4 linked regions of the Lepisosteus oculatus genome follow. The protein of the gene in region 1 interacts with the protein of each later gene in a pairwise test. Links are inferred from orthologs where the notes say so. Each region holds a gene or a part of one and is shown in the gene's direction. Other genes may lie near its edges.

What was found.
Region 2: the proteins of ndel1b (region 1) and mrc2 interact in a two-hybrid assay, tested with the Homo sapiens proteins (2 studies listed by BioGRID and IntAct). The link is inferred for Lepisosteus oculatus from reciprocal best matches to the Homo sapiens genes NDEL1 and MRC2.
Region 3: the proteins of ndel1b (region 1) and serine-rich coiled-coil domain-containing protein 2 interact in binary tests that used the Homo sapiens proteins (3 or more experiments, as listed by UniProt). The link is inferred for Lepisosteus oculatus from reciprocal best matches to the Homo sapiens genes NDEL1 and CCSER2.
Region 4: the proteins of ndel1b (region 1) and kalrna interact in a two-hybrid assay, tested with the Homo sapiens proteins (2 studies listed by BioGRID and IntAct). The link is inferred for Lepisosteus oculatus from reciprocal best matches to the Homo sapiens genes NDEL1 and KALRN.

Annotation. Positions count from the first base shown.
Region 1 is NC_090704.1:43,782,695-43,790,202, forward strand, and holds the start of ndel1b (nuclear distribution protein nudE-like 1-B), read left to right. Parts: upstream 1-4,496; 5' UTR 4,497-4,585; coding exon 4,586-4,655; intron 4,656-7,508. Other genes in the region: RING finger protein 222, read right to left, coding at 2,090-2,752. UniProt on the Homo sapiens protein: Required for organization of the cellular microtubule array and microtubule anchoring at the centrosome. May regulate microtubule organization at least in part by targeting the microtubule severing protein KATNA1 to the centrosome.
Region 2 is NC_090723.1:138,146-145,448, forward strand, and holds the start of mrc2 (C-type mannose receptor 2), read left to right. Parts: upstream 1-4,287; 5' UTR 4,288-4,561; coding exon 4,562-4,673; intron 4,674-7,303. UniProt on the Homo sapiens protein: May play a role as endocytotic lectin receptor displaying calcium-dependent lectin activity. Internalizes glycosylated ligands from the extracellular space for release in an endosomal compartment via clathrin-mediated endocytosis.
Region 3 is NC_090699.1:28,717,158-28,724,518, reverse strand, and holds the start of serine-rich coiled-coil domain-containing protein 2, read left to right. Parts: upstream 1-4,361; 5' UTR 4,362-4,441; intron 4,442-7,361. Other genes in the region: sparcl2 (SPARC), read right to left, coding at 696-768, 1,785-1,841. UniProt on the Homo sapiens protein: Microtubule-binding protein which might play a role in microtubule bundling.
Region 4 is NC_090707.1:11,601,669-11,608,772, reverse strand, and holds the start of kalrna (kalirin), read left to right. Parts: upstream 1-4,103; 5' UTR 4,104-4,924; coding exon 4,925-4,991; intron 4,992-7,104. Other genes in the region: ropporin-1-like, read right to left, coding at 612-727. UniProt on the Homo sapiens protein: Promotes the exchange of GDP by GTP. Activates specific Rho GTPase family members, thereby inducing various signaling mechanisms that regulate neuronal shape, growth, and plasticity, through their effects on the actin cytoskeleton.

The DNA of each region.
Region 1 (7,508 bases):
GACTTGTTTATGACCTCTAGGCATTTAACATAATCTTCCTGTTCAAGAACAATATGTGGTCTCACACACCATTTACTGTAGCTTATAAAATCAGTGAGGCATTTCAGTCACATGGACATTGTAAAATGCCCTTGTAGGAGGACCTCCTTAGCAAAACAAAACAGAAAATAACAAGAACATTTACTGGGTGCACATTTACATCCTACCTGTTTGAATTTACAATATTTCTGCACAGAAATAAAGCTGCAAAATAGGGAGGTACATATGAAATGAGAGTCCTCTGAATGTCAAATTAGAGGCTTCAAGGTGCAGATTTCTACTGCACACGTGGAGCAGCCCAAGGATAACAATGTACTGTAATTGTCCGCGCTTGAAAAAGCAAAAACATTAAACTGCTGAGTTAATGACTTGTGTTGGTCTCAGGAAGACTGAACTTTTGTGGTATACTTTGTTTCCTAAACCATGTATTATGTTGTTTTAGTGTAGGTTAAGGGAGAGAGGGTGTGAAGCTCAGTTTGGGGATAGCGTTATAACGGGGATTAAAGGGGAACTGCAGTCGCAATTTCTCCAAGAGGTTATTAAATCTCGGTAACAATTAATTAATTACTTACTTAATTGATTAATTGACGGTATTGCACAATTTGACAAATTCAGAATTAAGCACACTGGAAATACCTCACCGGAAATTTTGTTGTCTCATTCTGAATCACAGACTACAACGGCAATACAGCGCTGCACATATGTGGAACTTTTGTCTATTTTGTGATGTAAATTGGAGGTTTAACAAGTTACTGTGCACGTTTTACTTTCATTCTGTTTGAAATCCACTCACCAGTGGTGATTCTTTCTGACCCCAAAATATGAAAATAGCTTTTCAGTGCCCATTAAGGATGGGCCAGTTTACCTCCCAGTATGTCTGTGGCCTGTGGGAGGAAACTGGAGCACCTGGTGGAAACTCATGCTGACACAGGGAGAACATGCAAACTCCACACAGACAGCAGTCTGGGAATTGAACCCAGGGCCCCAGCACTGTGAGACAGCAATGCTAACCAATGTGCCAATCTTGTTTAAAAAAACTGCTCGTGATTTTCTTTTGAGAAATAAAACAAGATGAGGTACAGTGTACTTCATTACTGCCATTGTCACTATTTAAATGACATTGTTAACAGAAACAAGTATATCATGAATCATAAGCATCAAGGAAGAAGACTTGTTTTTACACAAAGGATCTGCTTTCTGATTAGGACAGAAAATGCCTGTCACTATCACTTCACTGAATTCCCCTTCAATATCAACCGGAGAAGACAGTTTGCACGTTCAAGGGTCATAGGAAGCATTCAAGACTAGAAAGACTGGGTAAAGAAAAATTAAGACAAAATGAAAAAATACGATTTTTTATTTCACAGCCGTTTTCTATCAAAATAGATACCACCAGATGTGTACGCCTCGAACAATAAACATTTAAACACCCAAGGATTTATTTAAAAAAATCTTTTGAATAATTTACCAAAAAAAAAGCCCTAATTTATAGTAATATTACATCGCTATTGTTTAATTAAATAAAAGCGGAATTGTAATTAAGTACATTGCCATCATAACTTGGTCAACTTCACAGAACGAGCGATGATTACGACAGACACTGAAACGGATATTTCTCAATAAGACAGACAATGAAATACTGAAGGAAGTGCAATGAGTGGTTTCATCCTGTCCGATTCTTAAGTGGAATATTACCCAAGACGGAGTTTTTTTTTTAAATCTCAATATGTCCACTTTGTATCTAATCCCATAACCAGATAAATCAACTGAAAAGAAAATCACGTTTATGACCACACGTTTATACACACTTTACTGGAGCAAAAGGTTGTTTGAAGGTACAGCATGAACGAATTTACTTCTTAGTGCCTTTGGCCGTCATTAGATGCACCTTTTTGCATGTGCTAACGGGGAAAGAACGAGCAAACACTTGTATAGTGACTTTCACAGCAATCAGGCTTTACAGCTTTACGGCTTTCAAGGGAAATCGGCGCATCAGAATAGGATGTGATGTTAGTGGAGGACGCAGCGGTGGGGGAATTGAAAACGTGAGCTATCTCCACATTGTACATTGAATAACCGCTATCACCACAGCCGCCACGATTGCCGCAACGAGACACGTAAGCACCCATCGCGCTGTGGCGCACGTTAGTCTACTTCGCCTTCTTGGGACGGGAATCACGGTGGTCACTGCCGTCACGCTGACCGCGTCCTCGTCCGCCATGGGCCGGCCCTGGCTGGTGATTGTGAAAATCTGGAGGGTGGGGGCAGGGCCGGGCGGTCGGGAGCTGACCCTTCTCGACGAAGCCCTCCGGAAGAACCACACGGCTCGGCTGGCTCCGCTGTCACCGGCCCGCGGGGGGGCGCGGCCGGCGGCGTGGCGGGCCGGTGATGGCGGCGGAAGGGGGTGATGGAAAGGGGGTACCGGAGGAGGAGGAGAGAGGGTAACTTCCAAAATCTGCGCGTCCTTCCTGGCGCTCTTGACCTTCACAACGTCCTCCCCCTGTTCGGTGAGGAACGTCAGGTGCCTGCACATGGGGCAGATGATGTGCCTGGTGATGTGCCCACTTCTGTTGGCGCCGACCAGAGTCTTGACCAGACAGTCGTGGCAAAAGCCGTGTCCGCAGCTCAGAGTCCTTTTGTTGTCCTTAAGGGTCTCGTAGCACACGGGACACTCGTCACTGCCGGCCCCCGTGCTGTTATCCCCTGTAGACATGCCTGCCGTTTCCCACTTCACTCCCCCAGGAGGTGACTGCAGTCAGAGCGCATTACAGATCACCCCGCATCCCAAGCGATTCTCCTCCAACATCGAAAGAATGCCCCGACTTCCAGCTCCACTACAGTATGTCCTTCTCAGAGCCCTGTTCAGCCCTGCGCTCGCCTCATCCTGAGCCCTGATTGTCTTTTAACTGATTGTCACCAGTGTGGTGAAGCGATACGCTCCCGATCCAATATTGTGTCAACAAGCCGGTTATCTTAATTCACACACGACATCGAGCGCCTTCGTGACCGCCAAGGTGCGCCCACAGATTCCTTTACATTGGACGATCAAAAGGCTGAAAAACCGGATTGTCTTTGGACTTTTTGTTTTACTTGAATTCAATAAATTACTTATAAAACAGCCCTTATGAAAAATACTTATATGTTTATACATAAACGAAGTCTGATTTCTGCAGAGCATTTTGATGTTCTGATGTAGGTCATCTATAGGTTAAGGGACAACACTATATATTTGTTTATACAGCACATTCCCCGGAATTATCACGAGTTAGGTGGAATAGATACCTGACCACGTTTTTTGTTTTCCCCTGTAGAGGTAACACAGGTAACACAGCTGAGTGAAAGGAGTTCTGAAACTCGGAAATAAGCGTATACGGTTGATAGCACTTACGCAACATTTTCAAAATACTGAAAGCAAACGTAAAATCATAAATATAAAATCGCGATCAATGAATCTGTTATTAAGAACTTTGTCCCTTTGTTAAGAGACAAAACACTAAAAGACCCGGCTCTCACAGCACTAGATTTGTCACTATTTTAAAACGGTATTTATTGTTAATAGGGTAATTAGCCACTTTGGGACTAATTGAGAGGCACTGTGGCTGTGATTAATTGGCTCTTGTTGGACGGTGTTACTTTTTCTGTAAACTTTTGTTTTGATAACCACTTCTAAAGTGATAGAAACTTTTACTTGTTTTCTTGTGTAATTTAATATGTAGTACATGCAATACGTTGTTTGGGAAAAAAAGAACACCAGATAGTGTATTTCCCCTTTTTTTCTTTTTTTTTTACACGAGTCGGGCATTTGGCGGCTGCAGATCTTCCACCAGTCGGCGCACGACGATAAAAAAGAAACGAAACATTGGAAAAATACGGCTGTTTAATTTGGGTGCCGATTTTTAGGTAGACATAGGTGCGTGACATTGCTAAATTAATTTCTAAATGAACGGGCTCTCCATTCGTTTAATTGTATAAAGCATTTAAGTTCTACGATTTTTATTAAGTTGCTAAAAATGACATTCATACGTGTAAAAAAAAGAATTCTCACGACTCAAGAAAAAATGTGTGGCTGTAGTCATAGCATTAAAAAAAAGTATCAAATGATATTTCCAAGAAATCTGAGTAATCCTTGAATTCCAATCGGTGTGCAGTTGCGTCACCCGGAGGGAAGGCCGTGCGCGTCTGTGACGTCACGTCGTGCCGGAAGTTGCGTGACCCCGGTGGAGAGGGGCTGGAGAGCCGAGATTCAGTTACTAAACAGAGAGGAGACAGGGGATGTGCTGAGACCCAGACGCCCAGAGGGATACGGGCCGGCGATGTTCAGGTAAGGACTAGTCTCCACGCTCCGAAAATGCCGAGCAGGGTTTGAAGCGGCGTGTATTTTACGCGGAATGGCTGCGGTTCGACGGGGGGAAGGCGACGCCGTCGTTGTTGACAGCCGACTTCTGTCTGACGTGTCATGTTTCTAGGCAGCAACTTGAAATTCCCACTTGCACAAAGATCGTATCTGTGGCTGGCTTGAAAATATGTCACCGAGATTAGAAAAAAAATGGTGCGGTCTGCTCTAGGTCTTGTATGGAGTAAAGGGCCGTTTTTGGAGACGTCAGGTAGCTCTTCGGGTATGTATTTTTAACTTGTTACTCTAAACAACTTGCGCTTCACCTAGTGTGACTCGAGCTGTATGTTCTTTTGCCCGTAGATGCGTGTCCGTTTGTCACTTTTCCAAAAGCTTTGGTTTTTACAAATTGTTGACTCGTAATTGTGAGCTAACGAGGTTAGCTCCGTTCATTTCAAAAGGGACGATGCTAAATTAGCTTATTCAAATCGTTTTTTGTAGGTTGTTAGACTGTCATTGCTTGAGATGGGCTGTGTACTTTCCTCGGACACGACTGTTATATGTTAGCCTCTTAGCTTTTTTTAATGTTCTCCAGTCTTTTCCAATGAAGACTCACCAATGGTACCGGTTTTTGATTCTCGGGTGCGGCTTGTCCCATATTACGTTTCTCGGGCTTGAACTGCAAGAGGGTCAGTCTAACCTCTGATGCTCCCGCCCTTCATCCGTGTTCATTGGCTGGGATCAGGATGTGACGTATACATTTCGGTTTTAATTGGGTAACATGACTGCCACTCAAACGGCCCTGCTGTGTGCAAGTTCCCCACGCTTGACAGAAATAAACCCATGAAATGTAGGATTTATCAATCACGTTTTTTTTTTTACAAAACTCTCTATATATCACATATCGCGTAAAGATGACACTTTCGTAATGCAAACCGTTGTCACAGATAAACAGAGCTGTCCTCTCTCTTGTTCGTTGATTCTAGACAGTCCACAACGTTGAACTGGAATATTCAGACTGAAGGAAGTGTTTTTAAAATTCTTATGTCATTCCTGTGGTTTATTTGAAGTAGCGTCTGTTTAAGCCTTCGATAGTGTGTATGAGTTCAGCACAGTAAATTTAAATTGGTATTCTTTCATATTAATAATGCTTGAATAAGAAGGTGACATTTCACATAAGTTTATCAATTTACATTGATAGGTTGTTTACCTTTTTACAACTGACCTAAATGTGAACTATTTATAGAATCATGGGAACATGGTTTTTGATGAAATGTCAGCCAGGAGATGACCTCCACATGATGTCTTTTAAGTTTTAATTTCCAGCAAGTTGAATCTCTTCCAGTTTGTTGTATGGACTTTTATTATTGGGTGAATCGTTAAATAAAAAGGAGAATGAAATATATTCTTTTTGGTCTTAAGGCTGAGGAGTGAAATTTTGGTTTTCAGGACTCTTTACTGCTTCCTGAGTGGGAAGTTACTGTTTTTACTTTCGCACTTTAACGTTAATCAACTTGCTATTGCCCTGGTGAATGGGCATAAATTGGTAAAAGAATGTATCGGGCTGACACGGTTGTCCAAAACAGCAGATATTTGCACCCATTTATACATCTGTGTGTTTTACTGGAGAGGCTGAAACAAGTCCCGATCTCTAACCATTGCTCCATACTGCTGCACTAAGTACATAAACAAGCACGGCACTGCTGGCCTGGCAGGGATCGAACCCACGTCCTGGGTGTTATTAGTACCACATGTTGACCAGCTACTGTTTTATCTCTCAGGACGTCTTGTTTCTCACAGCAGGATGGACTACATCATGTGTTAACCTAGGAGAGGGGTGGGTGAGAGAAGTTTGCAGAAGCATCTCATTTGTCCAATATCTTCCTTGCGGCTTCACCGCAGTGACTCAACTTGGCCCTGTTAAGACGGAGGGAGAGAAAAGGCATAAATTGCTTTCTACCATATTAATGACATCCAGATGGGCTGGGGTGGCTAGAATATGTGCTGGCAGAGGTCGTGCTGGTTTTACTGGAGGTGACGCAATAGTTAGATCATGAGAATCTGTAAACGTGGACTTTGGTTTGTTGCTTTAACTTTCGTTGTAGTCTCCTGAATGAGTTCATGTTCTCTTATGCAGGGTGTTCTTCTAATCTAGCTTTTTGTATGTGTGGTATCCTAATGAGATTTTATATTTAAAATAGACTTATGTATAGAATGTGTCCTGTAGTGAAAATGTATATACCACATAATTGCTGTACTCTTTCTTGCCATTTATTATTCTTTGGGCTTCTTCTGTCCTCACTGTCTGAAGGTAAACATTTAAACAGTCCCGAGTGTCAATTTCTGTATTGCATTACACATAGTTTCACTTTTTTAAACTGTCTAAATAAAGCTTTGCTCTCATGTTTATCTTGTGGGTGAATTCATAACACTGCTTTAAATGTGATTTGGGTTTGTGATCCCTATAACATCAAGAAGTAGTAAGTCAGTCTTCATGGCTTTGATTTTCTAGTATGTCCGTAGCTCACCTATCAACCAGTTTCTCCTTACACAGTGCATTATAAAGACGTGTATTTATTGAGAAAATCCTGCTGGTTCATCTTAAGTCATGAATGCAAACCACCAAAGTCCCTGTATCTTATAACCAATCTAACATAGTTGGTATTGACAAGTTCCCCAATTAGTTTATACTTTACTGGATTATTATATATTATGTTAAAATGCTTGGAAATTGAAATTCTTACCTGAACTGCCTATAACGTTGAACAGGGAAAGTGTGTTAAAATCAGTCATTGATTTGGCAGAATCCAGTGTTTTTGTTTATTAGTGTAGAATGTCCAAAAAAACAGAATGTCGTTACTTGGTTATCATAACAATAGCACTGTGAAATAGTAACTTCTATTCATATATATATAATTTTTGTACTTGAGAATATAGAAGTCCAAGTGTTGTCCACTGAGAAAGGGGAGTGAATCAGAACATCTGAGGTAATAGTGTCCTGTCCAGGTCCTGGAGCACCGCAGTGCCTGTGGGTTTGTGACCCAGCTGGGCTCTTAACCTCCGTTAGCAGCTTAGCTGGACTAGCTTGACTTTTCAGGTGTTGGTCATTTTTAAGACTCACTAAGATCATCTGATG
Region 2 (7,303 bases), on another chromosome or scaffold:
TGTAATGACAGAACAGGAGGCGTTCTGTTGTTCATGCTTTTGTGAGGCATCCATGAGCTCTCAGTGAGGGTCCTTGGCCATTGCTGTTTCAATGGATCCTAATTAACTCAACATTTTCTTCTGTTTTCATACTTACATGCTATAAGCTGGGCGGTGCGGTGGCTCAGGATCTGTGCCTGTGGCTGGAAGGTTGCTGGTTCATATCTCGTGGCCGGCAGAGGAATCCTACTCTGTTGGGCCCCTGAGCAAGGCCCTTTACCCCAACTGCTGTATGAATGGCAGACCCTGCGCTCTGACCCCCAGCTTCTCTCCCCGTCTGTGTGTCTCATGGAGAGCAAGCTGGGGTATGCGAAAAGACAAATGCCTAATACAAGAAATTGTATAGGGCCAATAAAGTGATCTTATATATATCTATAGCTTGAAGAAACAAAGACCAGGCATTCTCTGAGAGAATAAAGAGGCTAGCCATAGTGTCCTAATAGCGATGTCACTCATGGATAAGGACCATGATGCTTAGTATTTCTCAGATGCTTTCTGTCAGGCTTTGGACACTTTTCTGTTTCATAATGACTATAAAATGCTTCAGAATGATAAAGCAAATCAACTACACAGACCATTATACTAATAAGGAAATTGATTGTTTAGTGTTATTTGTTTAACAGTTAGTCCTGTGTAGCCATGTAAAATATGTATACATATATAAATCACATTATTATTATAATTATTATTATTATTATTGTTGTTATATTGTTGTTAGGTTATACCTTTATCCAGGTTATCTAGCAATGCATACAAAGTTTGAAAGAAGTGTAAATACACAAGCAGAGTAGAGTGTTAATGCCAACTGGACAAGCACAGTCGAGCTAAAGTAGTGTTTAAAACCTGTGTTATGGGGGATAACAATGTGGTTTCCCAATTGCTCTTTTTTCTCACACCTGAAGGCCTTGAATCCTCTGTGTTTGCTGCCAAACTCTCTGCAATGTGTCCTCCCAAGAGGACGATCTGAATCGAGGGCGGCACCTTTGAAGAGCTAGGCTCTGGCTTGATATGCTGTGCTTGTTCGATGCAACAATAACATTGACAACATTTCTTATAAATGAAATAAAGACATTGCTTGCCTTGCCAGTTTGACCTCTGTTTCATGTGATTGCTGAAAAGCTGCTAATAACATAGATAATTTTCACAGATTTTATTAGCTTTTAATTGCATCCTTCTGAACAGTGTCTTTTTTTCAGAAAAGAATCAGCTTTGTTTCTCAGAAACTTCTTTTTACTTGTCATAAAGATGAACATGAACGCAATAAACAGGAATCAGATAGTCCTTCTTAACCAAGATAGTAATTATATCACATGTTGATAAAATAAAAATATTAAATAATTTAGTTTTTCAATGTTAAATGATTGAAGTTAATATAAAAGTTAAATAAATTTGGAAATATAAATATTAAATAAAAATAAATCCTGATGGTCCACTATTGCCATTTTTCCACAACAAAGTAATTTGTGTGAAAAAGGTCATATGGAATCAATCCTCCATAAACATTCAGACATATAGCCAGTAACTAGGTTATGGTTAAAAAGTACAACTCTTCCACTGTAGAAGATGTTTTAGTACAATCCAGTCTGGACCTGTATTAGACTGGACCACAGACAATAAGCATGTCTGCGTGACTGGATGTGTGTGATCACAGCAGAAAAAGAGACAGATGATGTTTTGTGAGCAGTGTGTTACGCCCTTTCCAGTTGTAGAATTATGAATCAATTCACATGAAAATAGCTATAAAGAGTCAATAAAAAGTTAATGGTTTTATGTATAGCTAAACTGTTTTGATAAAGACAAGAATTTACTAACTTGATCCTAAGGGCATACTTCAGGTACTCACTCAGTACATAATCCATACAATTTCCAGTACCATTGCAATAAATACTGCTCTTGTAAGGACCCTCCAGGAAGACTGCAAAGAGGAGCTGCTAGTTGACTGTCAGCAGGAAAGGTTGCAAAGAGAGCATATTTCATCCCATCTTACTGGATAAAGGTCTTCTGATCTTGCTACCATCTTTCAAGATTCTCCCTAGAAGCATAAATAACAAAAAGAAAACAGTTTTTCAAACAACAGCTCAACTAAAATATTAGCTTCTTCTGGTTTATTACTAACCTCTCACCCAATCGCAATAATAGCATTAATTAAGTCAGTCAGTGGAATCATGCTCTCCTGATCTTAAGATTCTGTCTTCCTTCAAATAAAAAAGATGATTGTCTGTAAACTTTTGTCAAATGATTCTAAAATTTATAAATGTTCAGCACAGTAGAAAACACCCTGTTACAAAAATTACATCTCCCAAACAGAACGGTGTACAAATACGTAGTGTGGTGTTTTAGGGCTGACAAAAGTAGATTTCTTTCTGCTTTCTTGATCAATAATGGGAGGTTTTTGGCAGGGTAGGCCGCACAGGAAGTGAGAGTGAAGTTACTAGGCTCACTTCTTTGGCACAGGAGAGGCGTAGGCAGGCAGTAAAACTTTCCTCCCAGTAAGCTCAACATCTGAACAACTGCCAATACTGACTAATTAAAGAAAAGTCAAAACCACAGGCTGAGCCACAGGGTTCCACTATGGAGATTCAAGATTCTCTGCACTGATTTGCCAGTGAGGCAAAGAAATGTGAAAGGCCCAGGGTAATTCACCACTGTTTAATTAGCATTGACTTTGCACTGGATACCAGTTAGTTCAATTTGTTTTTCACTGCCAGCCAATAATATTCATCTGTGCCAATTGCTTTATTTTAAGAATTTTATTAAGAAAAAACAAAATCCATTCAAATCTCTGAAAGAGGCTGCTATTTTAATCAGAGTTTCTGCCAGGTACTTTATATTTGTGTTTTAAATTAATCTGAATGACTATTAGAAAAGGTACAAACAGAAGAGGCCATTTGGCACATCTAGCAGTAACCCCATAGTTATTTCTAATGTCTATATTTAGGACAAAATCTTTCAAAACCTTTAGGTCAAATTCTTCATACTGTAGGTATGGTATCAGCCTTCATTTCCACACTGAGGTTACACTAATTTACACAAAATCTAACCAAATGATCTCTTTCTTCTTACAAATGCTTATACAATGTTTCACATGTGAACTTGTGAACTTGCACAAGACCAAAGTTACGTTCCTGGCTCTTTATATCAACTCCACAAACAGGTCTTAGTATATCTACTGTATTGATGATCATGGAATCAGTATAAGTACTTAGGTAAGGAATCCTGGGGTTATTTTGCCTTGAATGTGAAGCTCATATTCACATTGTAGTTAAGGTATCTTTGATCATTTCTGTAACATGGCATCAGTAGACATCTCCCCCTGTTTCATTTTTTGTCTTTTCCAGACTTAATTATTGTAATGCAGTTCATATTACCATACTCATACATTAAGAAATTGCAGTATATTCAAAACTATTGAACTATTGAGTTGATTTTAACTAAAACTAAAATGCATTAGGACATATCATCTGTGTTAGTGTCCTTGAACTGGCTAAGTGTGCTTTTCAGAACAAAACTGATCATTTCTACTGTTCTCCTTTAAAGGTTTGAATAGTTTAATTCTTGACTACACCAGTGACCGGTTTGCTCCCTTCTTTCTGATCACATTATGAGGTTCCTGGGAAACACCAGGAGATAGACATCCCTGTTCAGCTCTTCTCCAAGACTGTGGAATGATGTCCCATCTTGTATCACGTCCTACATATCAGTCAACACTGCCAAATTCTCTTAAATTCACATTTATGCTCTAATGTTTTCTTGTTTAATTTACAATTCAAATGTGATTATACATCTCTTTTGTTTTATGGTACAGCTCTTTGAGATGATGGCACCATGATGTACCATGAAAGGTGCCATATACCTCAAAGTCTATCATTATTACTACTACTACTACTATACATTACTAGGGCCCATTACTAGGACAGTGCTACGGATTTTACCAACTAAGTGCTGGCAGTTCACGTATTTATTTTGTGTCTTCACGTGGAAGAAGAGGGGGATAACAAAACGTCTATTAGGTGAAATAATGAAATAATTTAGTTGGTAAAATTATTTTTAAAAAGTATTGTAACATACGTGGTTCAAAATATCTAGATTGTAAATTACACGGTAAATGAGTTTATGGAAATGGAGAGCCAGACCCAAGACGCCGAACCCGCCTCTCCAGTGGCAATAATAGATTTGACGAGAACTAATCGCGACCTGTTCATGTGGGTCCAGCAATCGTGCTAATTGAGGAGTGGGAGGCCAGTCCTACCAAGCCGAGTAAACGCGGGCAGGTGGTCTAGCCTTACTCTTGCACCGCGTACTAGTTGTTTCAGGTGAGGGGGTCTAGCCGTTCAGCAAGCCCTGGCGGTGGCGAGCTCTGCCTCCTCCAGCAGGAACTGCGAGGGGCGCTTGGTGACGCAGCGTCTGCGGCTCCTCCAGTCCGGCCGCGCTCACAGAAGAGCAGACTCCTCACCCAGCGCCTCTCTGCTCATCACTGCACCCCGGCACAGGCACGACAGCCCACCTCTCCGTAACTCTGGGCATGCAACGTAGCGACCGTCAAAAGCTTTCTCCATGGACTCGCTGCCGCTGCTTTTACACATGCACTTTATATTTATTTATTCTTAGTCTGGAACTAAGGTCTGCCATCTCAGGTAAGAATAGCTCTTTCATCTTATTGCTTTTTAAAAGTTAGCGTGCCTGTTGAACAGTGCGCCGTGTTCGTTTTAAAATGTTTAAAATGTTTTATGCGGATTTGGTATCGGGGAATCGTGGCAAGTATAGTTTTGCTGTGGAGTAGCTGATGCAGAGGAATGCCACGAAAGTCCAGAAACTGAGTAAAAACAGATGTGCCGAGAGAGCGAAGTATTCGAAGGGGGGAAGGGACGTGCTTTCATGTTGAAAGGATTTTCTCCCTAAAAAGAGCTGCGTCGCAGGATAATAAATACGGTTTAAACTGTCTTTGATTTTTTCACAACTTTTTTTTTAAACGAGTTTACATTTTTTGCAAGGAATTATATGGCACCCAGATGTGACATTTAGTATAACCCTGTTACGTAATTTTTCCTTTCCAATTTTCGATATTTTCCTTTTCAGACGGTATTGTATCCTGTAACACTTAACTAAATTTTCTTGAGGAAAAGTGAAAATCGAGTATTAAACGGAGACTTTTTCTAAAAGCCTTCATTTATGTATTCTAAACTATATACCAATAGAAGCTTCTGAGACAGTTAAGTCTGCTTTAAGACCCCCTCTTACAGGGAAAAAGCGTTTTCTGTGTTGGGGATCTGCTACGAGTAGCAGTGATAATATTGGAAAGTATGAAGTAAAGGTTTAAAGTCACTTCCTAGATCTAACTAGAAGTGTAATTTTATGGATTTTAAGACGCTGGCCACCAGTATATAAGAATATGATGGACCATGTTCATGCACAATGCATTCAACGACACAATCACGATCTGGGTATTTTCTCAAGTGTACTGTTGCATTTGGTGTGGCATTTATGTACACAATTATATTACATTAAAAGACTGAGGAAGGATATGTGGCCTCTTCCTACGTGTAGTCCTGTGATTTCTTTGAGAAAGGTTGCATGGCTGGGTGATATCTGACTGACTCCCACAAACCTTTGTGTAAAGTGTCTCCTGTTCTTAATTTTAAAATGCCCTTTTCCCTTGTTTCTTCTTATGTCTTCTGGTTTGTGTTTCACTGATTCAAAAAGTACATTGGGTTGCCAATTTCAGTTTCAGTATTTCAGTTAACTTAGTTTTCTCTGCTTAAGTAAAAAATAGTTACCCTGGACTTTGTCCAGAGATGAGCAGCCAGATAGATGTCTAGGCTTGAAGAATGAAATGCAAACAGGCAAAAAGAAGAAAATATGTGTTTTGTAATGTGTTGACTAAGATTGTACGTAATATTCTGTATATTCATTCTGCACTGTTTTGGAATGGACTCTTTTTTGTTTATATTACAATATTTTGGTCTCTTTTGTCTATCTTCAATTGTGCTTGTACTTCTCTTTAATTGTGTCCATTTGTAAAAAAATCAATAAAGAGAAATATGCTTTTCTGCTGCTTTTTTAACCTGTGTAAATAAATCCTATCAATGCAGCACAAAACTAAAGGAGTAAAGCAAGGGAGAGCCAAATCTAGTCTAAGATATGGTGAATTTCAGAAAGCAGGTTTGAATAATGAGCAGAACTGTGGAGGCCTGTCTTTGCCTAAGGAGGCAGGGGAGATGAAAAGAGCTCCACTGAGTATTATTTACTTCTAGTCACCACATCTAAGGACAGGATATAGTAAAAGTGCACAGAAAGGCATCTAGAAAGTCACTGATCTGCAACATAACCTGCATCAGATGAGACGTTTTACCCTACAGCAGTGAGCACTTACCCAAGATCCAACTGAGGCTTTCAAAACTTTAAACAAGACTGAGAAGCAAACTAGATATTTAATTTACACTAAAAACCCAGGATCAGAGGGCATAAGTGGAAGGTAAGGAAAACTAATTTTGGCACTTGAAACAGAAGTCATTCTTCACACAAAGCTATTAATTTATGGAGTGAGCTGCCTACTCCCGCGGTGGAGGTACAGTCACAGCAGTGAACTCTCACACATGGAACAACAGGCAAGCACAGGGGAGGCCCAGTGAGAGGTCATGTGGCCCTGTTACTATGATTGCATCTACTGTAGCCTTTTTCTAAACTATACCAGGCAGCCACAGCTTTTGTTGAAACACCTCCAGTTTTTAATCCATTTGTCAGATTAATCAATGTAGTAACTTTGTGGATTTGCTGTAAGCATGCACAGTAGATTAATTTCCCCCCAGACCATGAGGGATAGTTTACTACTGTTACCTTAACAGTCTTCATTGGCAGAAGCATGTCTGTGCTTTATTTTGACATTGCACTAAGTGGCATTAGTATTACAATATTTTCTTAATAAATTAGTCTAGCCACCCTACTGTATGTTACGTTCTATTAAATGGTCATACAATGTGTGTGCTTTTCTTAGAAATTGTCTGCAAAGTTGTTGCTCTTCATCATTGACTGCAAAGGTTTAGATGCTGAAGTTTGTGTTTGAAGTGAAAAGGGATGAATCTTTAGAAGAGCTGATTCTTTATTTCCTTGCATCCCCAATTATTTTCTATTGCTGCTAATGGCTGGGATATCAGGACTTGAAATTGCTCTAATATACAGCTTTAACCACTTGAAATTTGACCCCATGACCCTCAAGAGTCCAAAACCCTAACAATTGCTCTACACTGCTGCCTGCAACTGCTTAATG
Region 3 (7,361 bases), on another chromosome or scaffold:
CCCAAACCTACATTCCTTCAGAATTCTAGGTACATCCCAAATGTAATTCCTGCTCCCCTTATTGATCCAGATCATTTCATTACCTTAGTAATGAAGTATAAAGAAGCACATTCCTGCAGTGATTTTTAGTGATTTTGTTTTAAGATAATAGCTAATCTTGATAGATCTATATTGTGCAGTACAAAAAGAAGCCCTTTAGCTTTACAGGTGTATAAAAAGTAAAAAAGGATGTTAGCAGTGCTGACAGTGATTCTGGAGATTTGGTTGGTAAATGTGTTGGTTTAGCCACTACAGTACAGTATATATACAGTATAGGCTGCTCATGTATAGTTTACCTGGATTTGCTGATCAACATGATTTTAGGATTCTGATCAATGTGAGCTGGAGTCTGCTAAATGACAAGCCTGGTTTTCTTCTGTTATTGAGAACTGTCAAAGTTATTATACTAGTAAAAAACACTTAGTGGAGGTTTTCAATAAACTGTAGATGTTTCATTATCTAATTATCTAATTAATTCAAATTCTAACACTAAATCCCTAACTATAAAAAAATAAAATAAATGAATGGAATCATTTGCATTTATGTAGCATGTTATATCCTACAGTATCCAGAGGTGCTTTACATATAGATCCACCACAGCAAGGCAGCTCGTACCTGGGTCAGATTCTGTAACCCCCTCAGATCGTCAGACTCACCTGGATCTACACGCTCCACGTATGGCCTCAGAGTCTCCTCTGCCAGTCTCTGTCTCCGCTGGGCCCTGCCCGCCTGGAACACAGCACAGCGTTTCCACACACTCACACTCCTATCTGTCTCCGGCCTTGCTCAGCCTGTCCTTGCTCGGATCCTCTAGCCTGCCTGGTCCCAGTGTACAGTCCTGACCAGCCCCAGCTGCGTGAGTGTGAATTCTTACCTCTTCTGTGTGATCTGATCCCTCATTCCTTCCTGTTTTTATGTTTCCTATCAAGCTCAAGCTCAGGGGCCCTGCTCCTCACATCAGCCCAATAAGAGCAGGAGTCTTCACAATGGAGAGGCTAGCCTCTCTCCGGCTCAGCTTTGTAGTGTGTGCCAGCACATCTGTCCTGGCCCAGGTCCAGTGAAATGGGAAACAGGTGTTCAGCCTGGTCAGTCACATAGCCCGAGCTCAACAGACTCAAGCACAGGCATCCGAAAACCCAATACAAATTCTGAAGAATAGCAATTCGGCAGTTCAGTTCGAAATACCATATAATGAACAAACGAGCATAGAACGAGAATCTAAACACTTAAACATGTTTGAGTACTTGCTGTAAATGTTTCAAAGCAAATTCTCAATTATTTTTTATTGAAGAACAGAAATCTTTTGTCAAGGCATGCACCACTTTCTCCATGTGTGCGCAGTGGCTGCAGAGGGACAGCAAAAGACTCTGTGTCCATCAGTCTTCTCCAGAGCTGCTGCACTGTCCCTGCAGACAGGCTATGCTGAAGAGCCCATCTGTGAGGGAGCTGCAGTGTCAGCTGGTCCGAGGTGTCTCTCTGTACCTGTAACAACTAAGTCGCAGGTGTGCAGCATGTGCAGTACTCAGTGCTGTTTACACCCTGAAGAATAGTAGGTCTGCCAGCTGATCATAACATAGCCTTTCTGTAGTTTAATTTTTCAAACCCTGTCTTCAATAAATAGGAGCACACTCAACAATGCTGAAGCCAAGTGATTGTGTGCTGTGCCTCATCAGTAGATTAGCAGCCTAGGGCTGTTAATACAGCAGGAAGCTGGGGCTGTGTGAATCTGCGGGGTGATTACTCACAGTGCTGGGTTCAGGGTGCAGAGTCAGCAGGAGCAGCAGTGTCAGGGCCAGGAGCATCGTCAAGTCTTCAGGCTGAGCTGCTAGGAGTGTTGGAACACATTAACAACCCCGCACCCACATCAGTGGGCATTAGAACAGAAGCACATCGAGAGGTCCATAGGAATTCTGCTTGTTCTGATGCTAGCCTGATCTACTGGTACTCAGGGGAGAATAATACGACAAAATTGTTATTAGGATTAGGATTGGATTCCCTGGCTGTTCTTGCAACAGAAGTCTTTCCTCTAACAGTCAAGTGGTAAACTGATAAGGTTAACTGCAAAGAGCACAAAAACAGAATTCAGACACACTTCACTCCCAGATCAGAATTATTCTCATTAATGAATTATTGTTATAATTCACCATGATTTCTGTGATACACACACTCAGAGACCCTCTTTCACGACACATTGATGGGCGGGACAATCAATTCATTGCTGAATCCACACCACATGGCACAACAGGTAAAGAGCAAACATAAACATTCTGAAGCACTGCACAAGATGATGATACACCATATAAAAAGTGTTTTCTCCTTTTTTTGTTCTCAGTCTCCCGTTTTTTAGTTATATCCCAGAAAGACACATCAGTAACAATGCGACAAGACCATTGCCATGGTGAGGCAATCACTGCTGTTCTGGACAGGAATATGAGCACTATAGAATCCAATGCAAGATACTGTAATAATCACCACATTTAATTTTTAATTTATTTAAATAATCAGTCACATCTTACCTGAGCCAAAGACCTTCTTTCTGTCTCTTTACTTTTCTGTTCGTTCTTTCCTCTGTCCTCTTTCTGTTTTCCAGAAATCTCTCTCAAATCTCCCCTCTACCCCACCTCTCTCCCCCCACCTGTCTTTATCTTTCTATCCTTCACTTTCATGTGCACGCCTCTTGTAGCTCTGCTTCTCTTACCGTAGTGCTCGCAGCGCCAGTCTCAGGGTTCACCGTCTATCGCATTCCTTCATTTCTTTCTCTCCTCCCCCTGTGTCTTACGAGCTCTCCATTTCTCCTTTCATCTGTCCCGTTTCTGTCCCTGTCTCACGCACAAAATGACAGACACAGACTGGTTAATAGTCTAAATTTAGATGAAAAAACTGCCGGTTCTTTCCCCATCGTTTTCCCCATCCCTTAAACACTTCCCAAGGAAGACAGGTTTGCTGGAGTATCCATGTGTTCAAACTGCCCAGTAAATCATAGTGTTCATGGACCTCTGCCAGCCACAGCAATGAGATCCATCCCCTCGCAACCAGAGCTTCTGTCTGTGAAGGCAGGGCTTACATTACCTGAACTGCAGCATGATCTTCCCTACCTGTGGTCTCTCATCATTTATTAATATTCTTAAAAAAGCTGGATTTTAGCTTCCCTTGCAAACTGCTCAGACTATTCATCAAATGAATCTGGATGAACCTTTTGTCTGTTAAGGTTCTTGGCAACACAAAGACCCAGTAGAATCTGTATAATATTTTGCTCCTGAGAAAAAGCCAGTTATGTTGATTTATCATTAAATCAACTGAAAATGAAAAACAAAAAGTATTTAAAAGACAACTATTTCCTCAGCTTTTTTCAGCCAAAGATCATAAAGTGTGTTTCATGGTTCAGTTGTCTTTTGCAGAGCACAATGTTAAAATAGTATTGCACAAAGACTATGACCTAGACCCTACTAGAGAGCCTGGATATTGCAGGTACTGTTTACCAGCAGAGTAACCACCTTGTAGTCTGCATTATAGCTCACTTCAGTTTATTGTCATATGCACAAGTGCAATGAATTGCTTATTTGCATGTATTCTCCAATACAAAGATATTAAATGAACCACCAAAAACATAAAAACAGAACAGCAGCAGCAACAACAACAATTTAAATAACATACAATTAAAAAACAAATATAGGTGTGGGTAGGGGTAAAGTTCAATAATCTGACAAGAAACTGTCTCTGAACCCGCTCTTAGAAACTAAGCAAGGCTGTATCTGATCATTACTTGGATGGGACAGTTCCAGCAAAAACTAAGTCACTACTGTGAGGGGTGTTGTTAGTCAAGTAGGTGGCACTCTTTCTTCCAGACTAGGATTTTGTTCCTACTGTAGACAATGTTCTACAGTAGTTTAGTGACCAGGAACTCTGTGCTTAAGGAGGTATCATCCATCTGATAAGACATTTAACCAAGATCCTGACTTTTATGACTCAGTAATAAAAGATCCCATGTTGCACTTTTGGCTTGTTCACTCTGGCCTTCTTAACATTCCCCTTAATTCATTCAGTTAAACTATTTCTCACCTGGATAGGTAAGGTGTGTAGTAGGGCTGCTGGTACATTTTAGCTGCTATGTGTCATCTAAGGGTTATATCAGGGGTGGCTGATATAGGTCCCTCATGCTGTGTAGTGGAATGCTATGAACTCTCTTACAGTATGATGAATTAGTCAAAATCTTAAATTGCGCAGGCAAGCAACTGATGATGTCACAGTACCAGAGTTGTGACATCACAGACATTTCCGTGGTGACAGGCTGAGATCACAGGGCATTTCAGAGTTGCTTCCCTTTTATTAGAAAAGTATATTGAAAAGTGACACCAGTGTGGCATGCAGGACTAGCAGGTATAAGGAAATGTAAATCTACCAGGTAGGTGCTGTTTCTGACCTGTTTGTAAATATGTTGATTTTTTTTATTAGGGAGAATGGAGTGTGTAGAGCTGAGACTGGAGGTGTTTCAGCTGCTGACAGCATCTGTGTTCAGCTTGCAGATGGACAGATGTTTTAGTACAGGACAAGGAGGGTACAAATCTGAAGCTGGAGAATGTAGTGGAATTTTCTTGTCAGTTCTGGAGATGTGCTTATAAAATGTAGTCAGTTACAGTTGCAAGTTATTCATGTTATTAGTTTTTAACCAATTAGTTGTGAAGAAGTTGCTACAAATTACTTTTATGAGGTGAAGTGTTATTTTAAAAGCAAGTACACACACAGCCAAATCTGTGGTACACAGCTTTGTTTTGGAAGGCTCTGCAAGGTGTTATTCCATTTTTACTGTTAATGACATAGTTGACCTGATCATTAGCTGAATTGGACCAGGTTAATTATTTTCAAAGGTCTCAATCATTTGATGATTTAAATAGACCTAGAAAACCTGCTTGGTTCTGGTCCTCAAGGATTAGAACCCTGCACCTATGACTTGACTGATTAGGTTTAAAAAATAACTTTAACTAAATCCTTTTTAAAAGAAATGTTCCAAAAACTGCTTGTTGGTTTAGCTTCTGCACAGACTTAGAAACCTATTCCTTTCCTTCACCACTGCTTTGTCACTTGTTCCAGATAGAGGAGAGGGACTATCCACAGGTATTTTCCTACTGGGGCAGCCCTAACCAGTGGTTGCTGTTCCAAAAGCCTCCAACAATTTAGATAATTGGCTGTTCATTACTTTACTTGCAATCCCAACTTAGTCGGACCTGCAGTGTGTATATGCCTGTGTGCTTTACAGTATAAAAAGTGACATGGATCTACAGAAGATTGTTGTCACTAAAGAAAAAGGAAATGCAGAGAGTGTTGGAAAGGATAAAAAGTTGGTAATCCCACGATGATTCAGTGAATGAATTCAATATCTATGTCACAGAAATTACTGTTGTAGTTCTCTATCATGCCTACATAGGGAAATGGCTGATATTAATTTGATATTGTAAGATATTGCCACCTTGTGGCTGCATAGAAAAAACACTAATAACACACTAGATTAAGGCAATATATGCAAAGGAGAATTAGACATTTAATTAGACAGTTCTACTTTCTGATATGGTGAAACAGTCAAATCTAACTTATATCCCATCATTCAGATCTATCTGTTGTGTTGTGGAAACAGCTTTAAAAATGAAATTTAGATAAAGCTACAGAACACGCTGTCCTAAGGAAAAAGCTGAATATACTTAAACGTTTTTCTACAAAAAAGTGTCCATCTACACAATTTCTACACTGTTATGCTGCTTTAAAAACATTTCAAAGCTACTTTCAGATTGTATTTGAGGAAATACAGGCTTTTATAAACAATATAGCAGCTAACAATAGCTTTGAATAGAGTTACATACTAGATTTAGTGCCTGATGTTGAAAGTAACATTTCAACATCTTTTTGTTCTTGGGAGGATAAAATAAATATTTTGCAAGGCTTTTTACAGGCTGTATTGATAGAAAAAATAGCTGTGAGAAGGACTCACTCTGCTTTTACAAATTATCCCTTACTGGATTGAAAATGTCTGTCTATGTCTTTACTCAGTACATTCTTCAGTTTCCCAATTTTGAGAAATAAACTCATCACACCTCCTGTCTTTTTCTGGGTCTCGGGTGGATAACATGGTTATTGACTGAAATACAAGAAATTCTCAAACAAACAAACTACTAAGACTGATAACTATTCACATTCAAAGAGCTTTATTGGTATGACTGATGAATTACAGCGTTGCCAAAGCAATAACAATCAGCAAAACATTTACAAACATTCAGGACAGTGACACAATATCATTATCCGAGTGCCTCATTCTCCATTTCCAGGGCACAGTAACAAAATGCACTTAATTACTGAGTGAAAGAACAGTCCGTTCAGTAGGTTGCACACTTCTGTGTCCCTGCGTGTTCTTGTCTGAAACAGTGCTGCGGCTCGTGAGCGTGTGTCTGCCTATGTCAGTGTGTGGCCTCTGGCTCAGTGTTTGAGCAGCAGAGGTTCAATGCCAGCAGACAGAGAACGCTGTAACAGCTTGCTTCATTTGCTGCAGTAAGACTAGCTTTCCCAGGGCTGGGGTGTTTGGACAGTTTATAAAACATTGGCTCAGAGGGGCTGAACCCTCATTGTCTCCTCTGCTTTCCTCCATGGCAGTCTATTTCCGTCCCACTTCCTTCCTTTATTGCACCAGATGGAAAATTGGCATTGCAGTCAGGTACCAGATATAAAACAACGCATAATACATTTAAGAGACGTCTACAAATAAGAGACATGCATGCAGAAAATGAAGAAAAACATGTTTTAGTGGCTTACGTATCCTTTATAATTAAGAAAAAAACAAATTGGATCTTCAGTGCATGAGATAGATACCTAAGATACATGATGCAAAAAATTAAAATATACAATCTGTTGTCCAGATTAAGCAGGTAATTAGCCATGGGAATAAAGGATAACTTAGTCCTATTGCACAAGTTAAATCTGGTATTCTAAATCAATGCTCTGGTAGAAGGACCTCACATTAATTGTGCAAGGGATGGTCATAACAGTCAGTGATTATATTGGCCTTCCTCACTATTTGTTTGAATATTTGTTCTTATTTTCTGTTTAGATTCCTCCCCCTCACAGCCCGTTTGTCAGCTTCTTCGGCTCTCTCTCCATCTCTAGTACACCTTCTCTGTCCTCGTCCTCTTCTCCCTCCTCTCTCTCTCCATCCTCTCTTTCTTCCTTCATCACTCCTCCCGCAGCGGTCAGGCAGGTGGATGAGGAGAGCGTTGCTTTTCCACCCTGCTCCTCAGCCAGTCTCAGGTTTCTGTCTGGATTAAATTTTCATGGGCCACGCA
Region 4 (7,104 bases), on another chromosome or scaffold:
CTAATCAGTAGTGTCAGTTCCTCTCTTTGTTTTCCTTTTCATTTGATTAAATATCCCCTACATAAAGCAGCAACTGTGTAAATATATTTTTTTCTTCTCACACAGCTATTTGATAAACTGATCATAAGAGCACGTTCACTGTGCCATTAATGAAATCAGGTTTATCCCAGAAGAGGAGATTTCAGAAACACATAAACATCATTAGTGAAACATTATTCTATTTAATCTGCCATTTTTAAGATAAGACTGGGTATAATCTCACACAACAGTTAATAAAAGTTATATATTCTTGGTTCCTAAGTACTGTGTTTACAATAATATAATTTAAATGTAAAAGTCTAATAAGCATACTACAAAGGAAAAACACCTCTCTATAAAGCAGATATGCTCCTCTTGGAGTAAGTTAATAAAACCTAATGCTTGTACAGCTATGGAGTATTTTTTGAGAGAAAAATATTGAAGAAACACTTAAGCTATCACTGCTACCTACTGTAAGTTGCAGGCTTTTCATTAGACCTATGAGATCCCCACTTCACAAGAGGAGAATCTATACTGCAATATTTGATTCCAAGCTGTTTTGAGTGCAGTATTTCAATAATGGAAGAACTTACATAGAAGACCACTCTAGCAGATCGGCTGGCTGTGTTCTGATAGCAGCTTTAGTAAACTGCTTCAGAATGTCTGGTAGCTCTGGTGGGATGATGACTTGCTTTCCAGAAAGAGGCATTTCAGTGCCCAATCTTAAAAGATCAAGATGAAATGCATATTCATCAGAAGAAAACCAACGTAACAAAAACAGATGCTAAGAGTCTAAAATTGCTACAAACAGTGGAAGGTGTCAGACCAGCCTTTTCAAGGCAATACAAAGTACATAATCGCGAAATCAAAACTATCAATCTTTCACCAAGAAACATTTTTTTAATTAATGAATTGCCATGCATTTCAGAACAAACCAGAAATAGTCAAATTAATATACGTGTTCCAATATCTCTTTCTGCATCTCGTTCCTTTTCACTTAATATATAGAAAATGCGCCAATACAAATAATAATGTATTTTATACAGACTACACTGTACATAAAACTATCACAGCGCGATTTCTTAATCAGGTCTATAGACATCTCATTAAATGAACTGCGTGTCTTGTTCTTTTCAAACCTGTTTTTCTGTCCGTTTTCTAAACAGTAAGTGCAGCACGGACTGGGCTACGTTTTCATCATTCCGATTACAGTGTGTTTAGTGCTCTAAAGACATTTTTCAGTTTAAAAAATCAAAACATCGCCTTTTATCGTGAATCCCCACAAGTTTACCGGTATGTACAGGCGACAGAGTCTATCATATGAATAAGTCCTTAAATCGATGCAGACCACCTTCACCATAAAAAAGTACTTAAATAATGCATTTAGAGTATATCAGTCTGTAAAAGTTAGAATAAATACAATCGTCTCCAGACCTCTAGACCTTGACTTTTCTGAACAATGCCCAGTCGCTCTAGTTGATAGTGTCGTCAAAAATTAGAAACTTGAGAAGAGTGTTCAGGTGTGCAGCTGTCAGATGATTTGACCTGATGTTTAACAAGGATATTTTATTCGGTACTGTGTGTATTGTGATGTAGCTGTGACGAGATGGGAGACAGGATTTCTTAAGTAAGCTGTGAATACTGTACATACCGTACCGTTTCATCATGGCAAAGTAATTTAAAACATTATTTTACATTGTAACGTTCCTAATTATTCCATTCTTATTTCCGCGTTAATCGGTAGCAACGCACTATTCTCCAGAAAAACGGAAAACCGCCTTTTCTACTATAAGAGAATTGTAGACTATCTAGGCTTCAAGAGGGTGACGTCACCTTCTGCAATAGGTTCAGTTCTACGGAGCCTTTCTAGGATAACATGAATCTGTTGGCTAACAAGCTCTTTGCTACTCCTTTTCCTTTTGTTACAAACCAAACGGACAGAAGTTCTCTTTTCTCTTACAAATAGTATTCAAAGTATAGCTTTAAAAATAATATGAATTGGTAGAGACCAAACATAATTAACTGTGTACGATATGACCGTTCCAAAAATGTAATATTGTTAATGTCTAAGTCTACAACACCAATGAAAGCCTTTTTTCAAAAGCGTTACTATTCTTTTAATAAATTTGGTGTTTCTATGTGTAATGTGTTTGCTTATAAAGAATGTTTCCAAATTATATATTTTTATCAACTTTTTATGGCAGGGAGCCGTTATATCTTACAACTCATACAGTATGTGGTAATCTTGGAGTAACGAGAAATCTTCTGCAGTACTAGTCGTGTATAAAATATACCACTAGGGGGCAAATTATCTCTATTTTTAAAACGACAATGGACTCGATTTTCCTGTAATTTATGGCCCTACAAATTTTGAGTCACCACAAAATCTTTATAACCTGCTATTTTCTTCGCTTTAAGTTTTTTTTCTCCTTGTCCATACTTGTTTCACTTATTCTATTCAGTGGCTTAGCTTTACAGAACTTCTCATGTTTTATCCTTGTATGAGTCACAGCTGCTACCTTGTGAAATTAAAATACGGTTGGAACCACAACTATTGGCATAAAGTCTTTATACTAAATATTTTGTATAATAGACGTTTTAAATAGAAGAGGTTCTTTACTGACGTTTGGCGGGGATAATGGCAAACAAGCCAATTTCACCCAGTTGTTCTAAATCATAATCATGAATAATCTGTATCACAAGTAAACACCTCTTTTTCGCATTTTGTCTCAGGCCTCCTCTATCCATTTTTACAACCTACCCCTTGGTGAACTCCAATCCTCATCCTATGGGCAGGGGGCTATCTCAAAACCGAGCAGTTTAATGCCGAAACGTATTATACTACAAAATACTTAATATTCACAAATGAAATCATTATTGGATGTCGTTATTCCTCGTGAATTCTTACCACTTCAACGTTTATTCAAACCCTACATTTTTCAGTGCTAGTTGACACATGTAGGCACATTATTGTAAGATACATGTTGACAATAGTTAAGCCGGCCACTGCTCGGTGAAGCCGCATACATAACTTTTTACATACCTGTGAGATGAGCTCATTTACTATAAATTATAACTATTCCACCACTATTGTTTTTCCAAGATGCCTACCTTTAAAAGAATCCTTCACAATACAATTGAGAGTTTAAATCTGTAGAAAAAAAAGAATGTTGGACACAGTAAGAGCTTGGCACGCTATATCCCAACTGCGTTGTCTGTTAACCAATTGACTTATTTGTTACTACAGTATACAGTATGTGTAACAGTTTAAGGCCTCCACGATTTAAAAAAATATTTTTAGATTGCAAGTACGTTACTGAAACAAAATTAAAGAATTGTGCATCCGTTAAGGTCAGCGATGCTTAGTAATGTTAGCTTATTCTATGACATTACATTCTTTCAACGAAGAATGGAGTAAGAAACGGGTCTATGGACATGTTGTAGGTCTTTTTCCCCCCAAATTTACAATGTTCTTGACAATTTGTTGTCGCTTGGAGGCGGTAGATGACCAGAACTCTGGTTGAAGATAGCAAAATTGCCTTCGTTTCTGATAAAAAAGGAGCTTCGATTTTCAGATACAGCGTGCCTTTCCCATGACAGATGGTTAGGGCTGTAACTAGTATAACGTCGCTATATCTGGATTCCGGGAATATACAGAATTGCACAGCCTGTAATCATTTTTACCACCCAAGTCGGTTGTGTGTAAACACCCAGACATTTAATGACATTTGGGGGATATGAACTGGCCGCTCATTGATGAATGAATCGGGTGACTCACCCTGCACACACAAAATGAAAAAAATATGTGTGCCAAACATGGTATCTTCTATGACTCATCTGCATGGCTATTAAAATAACTGTACACATACCGTGCATTCCTGAGGGCATGATGAGGTCAAAACAGGAGTGCAACACAAAGAGCCCCGAACCGAAGCTGGCAGGAGCAAGTTCTTTAGGCAAAAATATCGCGTGAAATTCAGGTACTGCAACTCTGGTTGTCGAAGTAATTGGACTTTCTGTGACTATACACTAGATGGTCAAATATTTCTAGTTGCATAAACTGGGAGCTGTATGCTGCTAGACCTGCCTACGAATATATTGGTTATTAATACGGGAAAAAGGAGGAGACGGGGTAGTGAGAAGGAGGGGTGAAAAAGGGTGCGGAAAGTCACTCATTGTCAGAAACGTACACTTATTTTAGTCGCTTTCTCCACACACGAACAGACGTACTGCCTTTGAGAACAAATGAGGTTTGTTTAGATAAGGTTGCTTTCGGAATTAGCAAAATGTAGGTACATGTTTATTTACATATATTTGGACACAGGGTGATATGTTATCTCTACCTACTCAGGCTGTGTCTCGGCACCAGAAACAGCATATTGAAAAACAGAAATCCGACGTTGTAACTACTGTATTTCAAGATCAAAACCCCTTGCTCTGCACCAGTCACTTACATTATGCAGATTTGTATGACATCACTACAATATACTGCCAAGGTACAGTTCTAAAGCAACCATACGCTGATTCCTTACTCTGTGCAGCTAATTGTAAGGATATATACAAAATAATCTCGAAAATGTGCAAACGCATAAACTAAACACTGCACATAGCTGCAACATAATTTGCAGAACAATTTATTGCATCCTCGTTATGTGTCACATGTGCAGTGGATTGCTTTTGTGGCGCCGGAGCTGCTAGAAAGAGGAGGGTGAATTCTGAACAATAGAGAGAAATGCAGCGCTGTTCTTTGTAATAACACGGACGGAAACCCACGATTGGAAAGCGAACAGCTGCGACCAGGAACACAAGAATATGGAGGGGATCGTGCACTGATTCTGTGAGACACATCACTGGATATACTTCGAGTTACATTTTCCTTTCTGAAATCCACGGGAGAAAGAAGAAGATGAATTCAGCCGAAGCACCCGATGAAGGACTGAATGATTCGGATGCAGACGCGTTTTTCAAAATAGGTAATGGGTTATTTTTTTTCTGTTATCACACATAACTGAAAGGAAATGATTCTGCAGCATCCTGTGAAGGCGAAATGTTAATTATACATTGTGTACGCCTGAGCATGTATTGACCCCTGTATTGACACTGAGTAAAGGAAATCAGAAAACACACGAACGATCATCACTTCGGCCTCAATAGCTCACGTTATGTATTGTACCGGGTTGAAGGAACTGGGTTCCCAACACTCCTGGGAGAGAAAGATTATTTCGTTTTGTGAGAGAGGTGGATTAAACAGGAATAGGATCTCGGAATGTATAGTTATATTAGCTGGTATAGGTGCGTTTTAACGTATGTTTTCTTTCGTGTCGGTGTGCACAATCTTGGCTGATCTTAGATTTTTATAGCCTATAAACAGGGAGTGACTGAATGAGAAAAACATGCCACATACACGCAAACAAGCATGTTGCTGCCGAATACTTACATGTAGTCTATCCCCGTTCATTCTGTATATTGTGCATGTACGTATGTATGCAGCCATTTCTGTCTTTATTTGCCTTTCTGTACACACGTACACATTGGATCAGTGTACACATACATAAGCAAGTGATGTGTAGGTATAAGTATGGTAATTTAAAAGTTAAACTGTTAAACGGTTCATTCAGGGAGTGATACATTTAAATATAGAGGATTAGTATCAACCCATGCTTTTGCACATTGTAAAACCGTAACGAAACTGTCACCTTAAAATTTATAATCGTGTAGCAGTCCAGTTCTTTATACTTATTAAATATATTATTTAAGTTTATCCATCCTGTTGCGTTTTATTAGTATAATTCAATATGATACAAATATGGAATACATCGATAATTTATTATTGAGAGTGAGCACATGAATGTAACCATATACAGTATCTGTATTTTCCACCCTAATCTTCTCTTGTCTCTTGTTATTGTAGTTCCTAAAATGTTTTGGTAGATATAGTTAAATAATTTAGATTTCCTGTTGACAAAGTGATTGTAGGTCCTGGAGAGGATTAAACAGAAAAAGGGAGTGTCTTCAAATTACCCATCACCCTCATCAAATATGTTTGTATCCTTTCCTAGCATAAACCTTCCTTTTGAGGGTGTTTTTTTATTCTGCACATGCAATGGAGATGTTAAAACATTAAAATCTGGATTAATCATTAAATCCATTAGACATCTGCTCTTTGGAGTGACATCTAAACCATGAAGTCAAATAATCTGTCTGAAACCACCAGACAATTGAACACCATTTGCACTTTGGGCTGTTCCTTGACTGAGAGATTCTGGTTTCACTATGGTGACTGTATACCCTCTAACCCCCCAAGCTGAAACTTAGACACAAGCCACAGGATAGCCTTTATAAACCTTAGCTAACCCTATTCGTATTATGCAGGTAAAAATGGCACTTTTTTAAAACTAAATTCGTACTGTAGCATTTGTGTGCTGTTGTTTTTAATTCAGTTTGGATACATGGTGCTGATGTTGTCAGTCTCTCTGATAGCTAGTGATGTAATACTGGCCAAGTCAGGGTTTTTCAATAAAGAGCTTACGTTTTGCTGTACCATAGAACCTGTTGTATACCCGTTTAAGTTCAAAGGTGTGTTTTCATTCTCGTGGCAATTTCTTACAGAGTAACTAAGAACAGAAAAGTAGAGCCAGCTGGAAAAACAAACAAACAAACAAACAAATTATTTATATGAGAAAACGCCAAACTGAGTTTAATCAAATAAATCCTATAATAACGCTGTTTTTGCAGAAAATGAGGGCAGTGTTATATCAGTGTGTTACAGCTTTGTCAAAGTAGGCCAAAGTTGGCGCAAAGGTGTGGTTTTCCAACATATAAAAGTTTCAGACCAAGTAAGAAGAAGGTTTCTTTTATTCTTTATTTGGTCCACTTATATGAAACCTACCAATTTCTGTTTAACATGCTCTATCAATGGGAGTATTGTGTTGCTTTTAATTTTAGTTTGAATTCTACTTACATGACATGACAGAGTGAAGAATTCAGACAGGTTAATCAAGTTATTGATTCATGACAGCTTTTACACACCAACATATTTTAGTTATGTAGTAAGTAGTTTTATTTTTTTTATGGGTGCAATAGAAT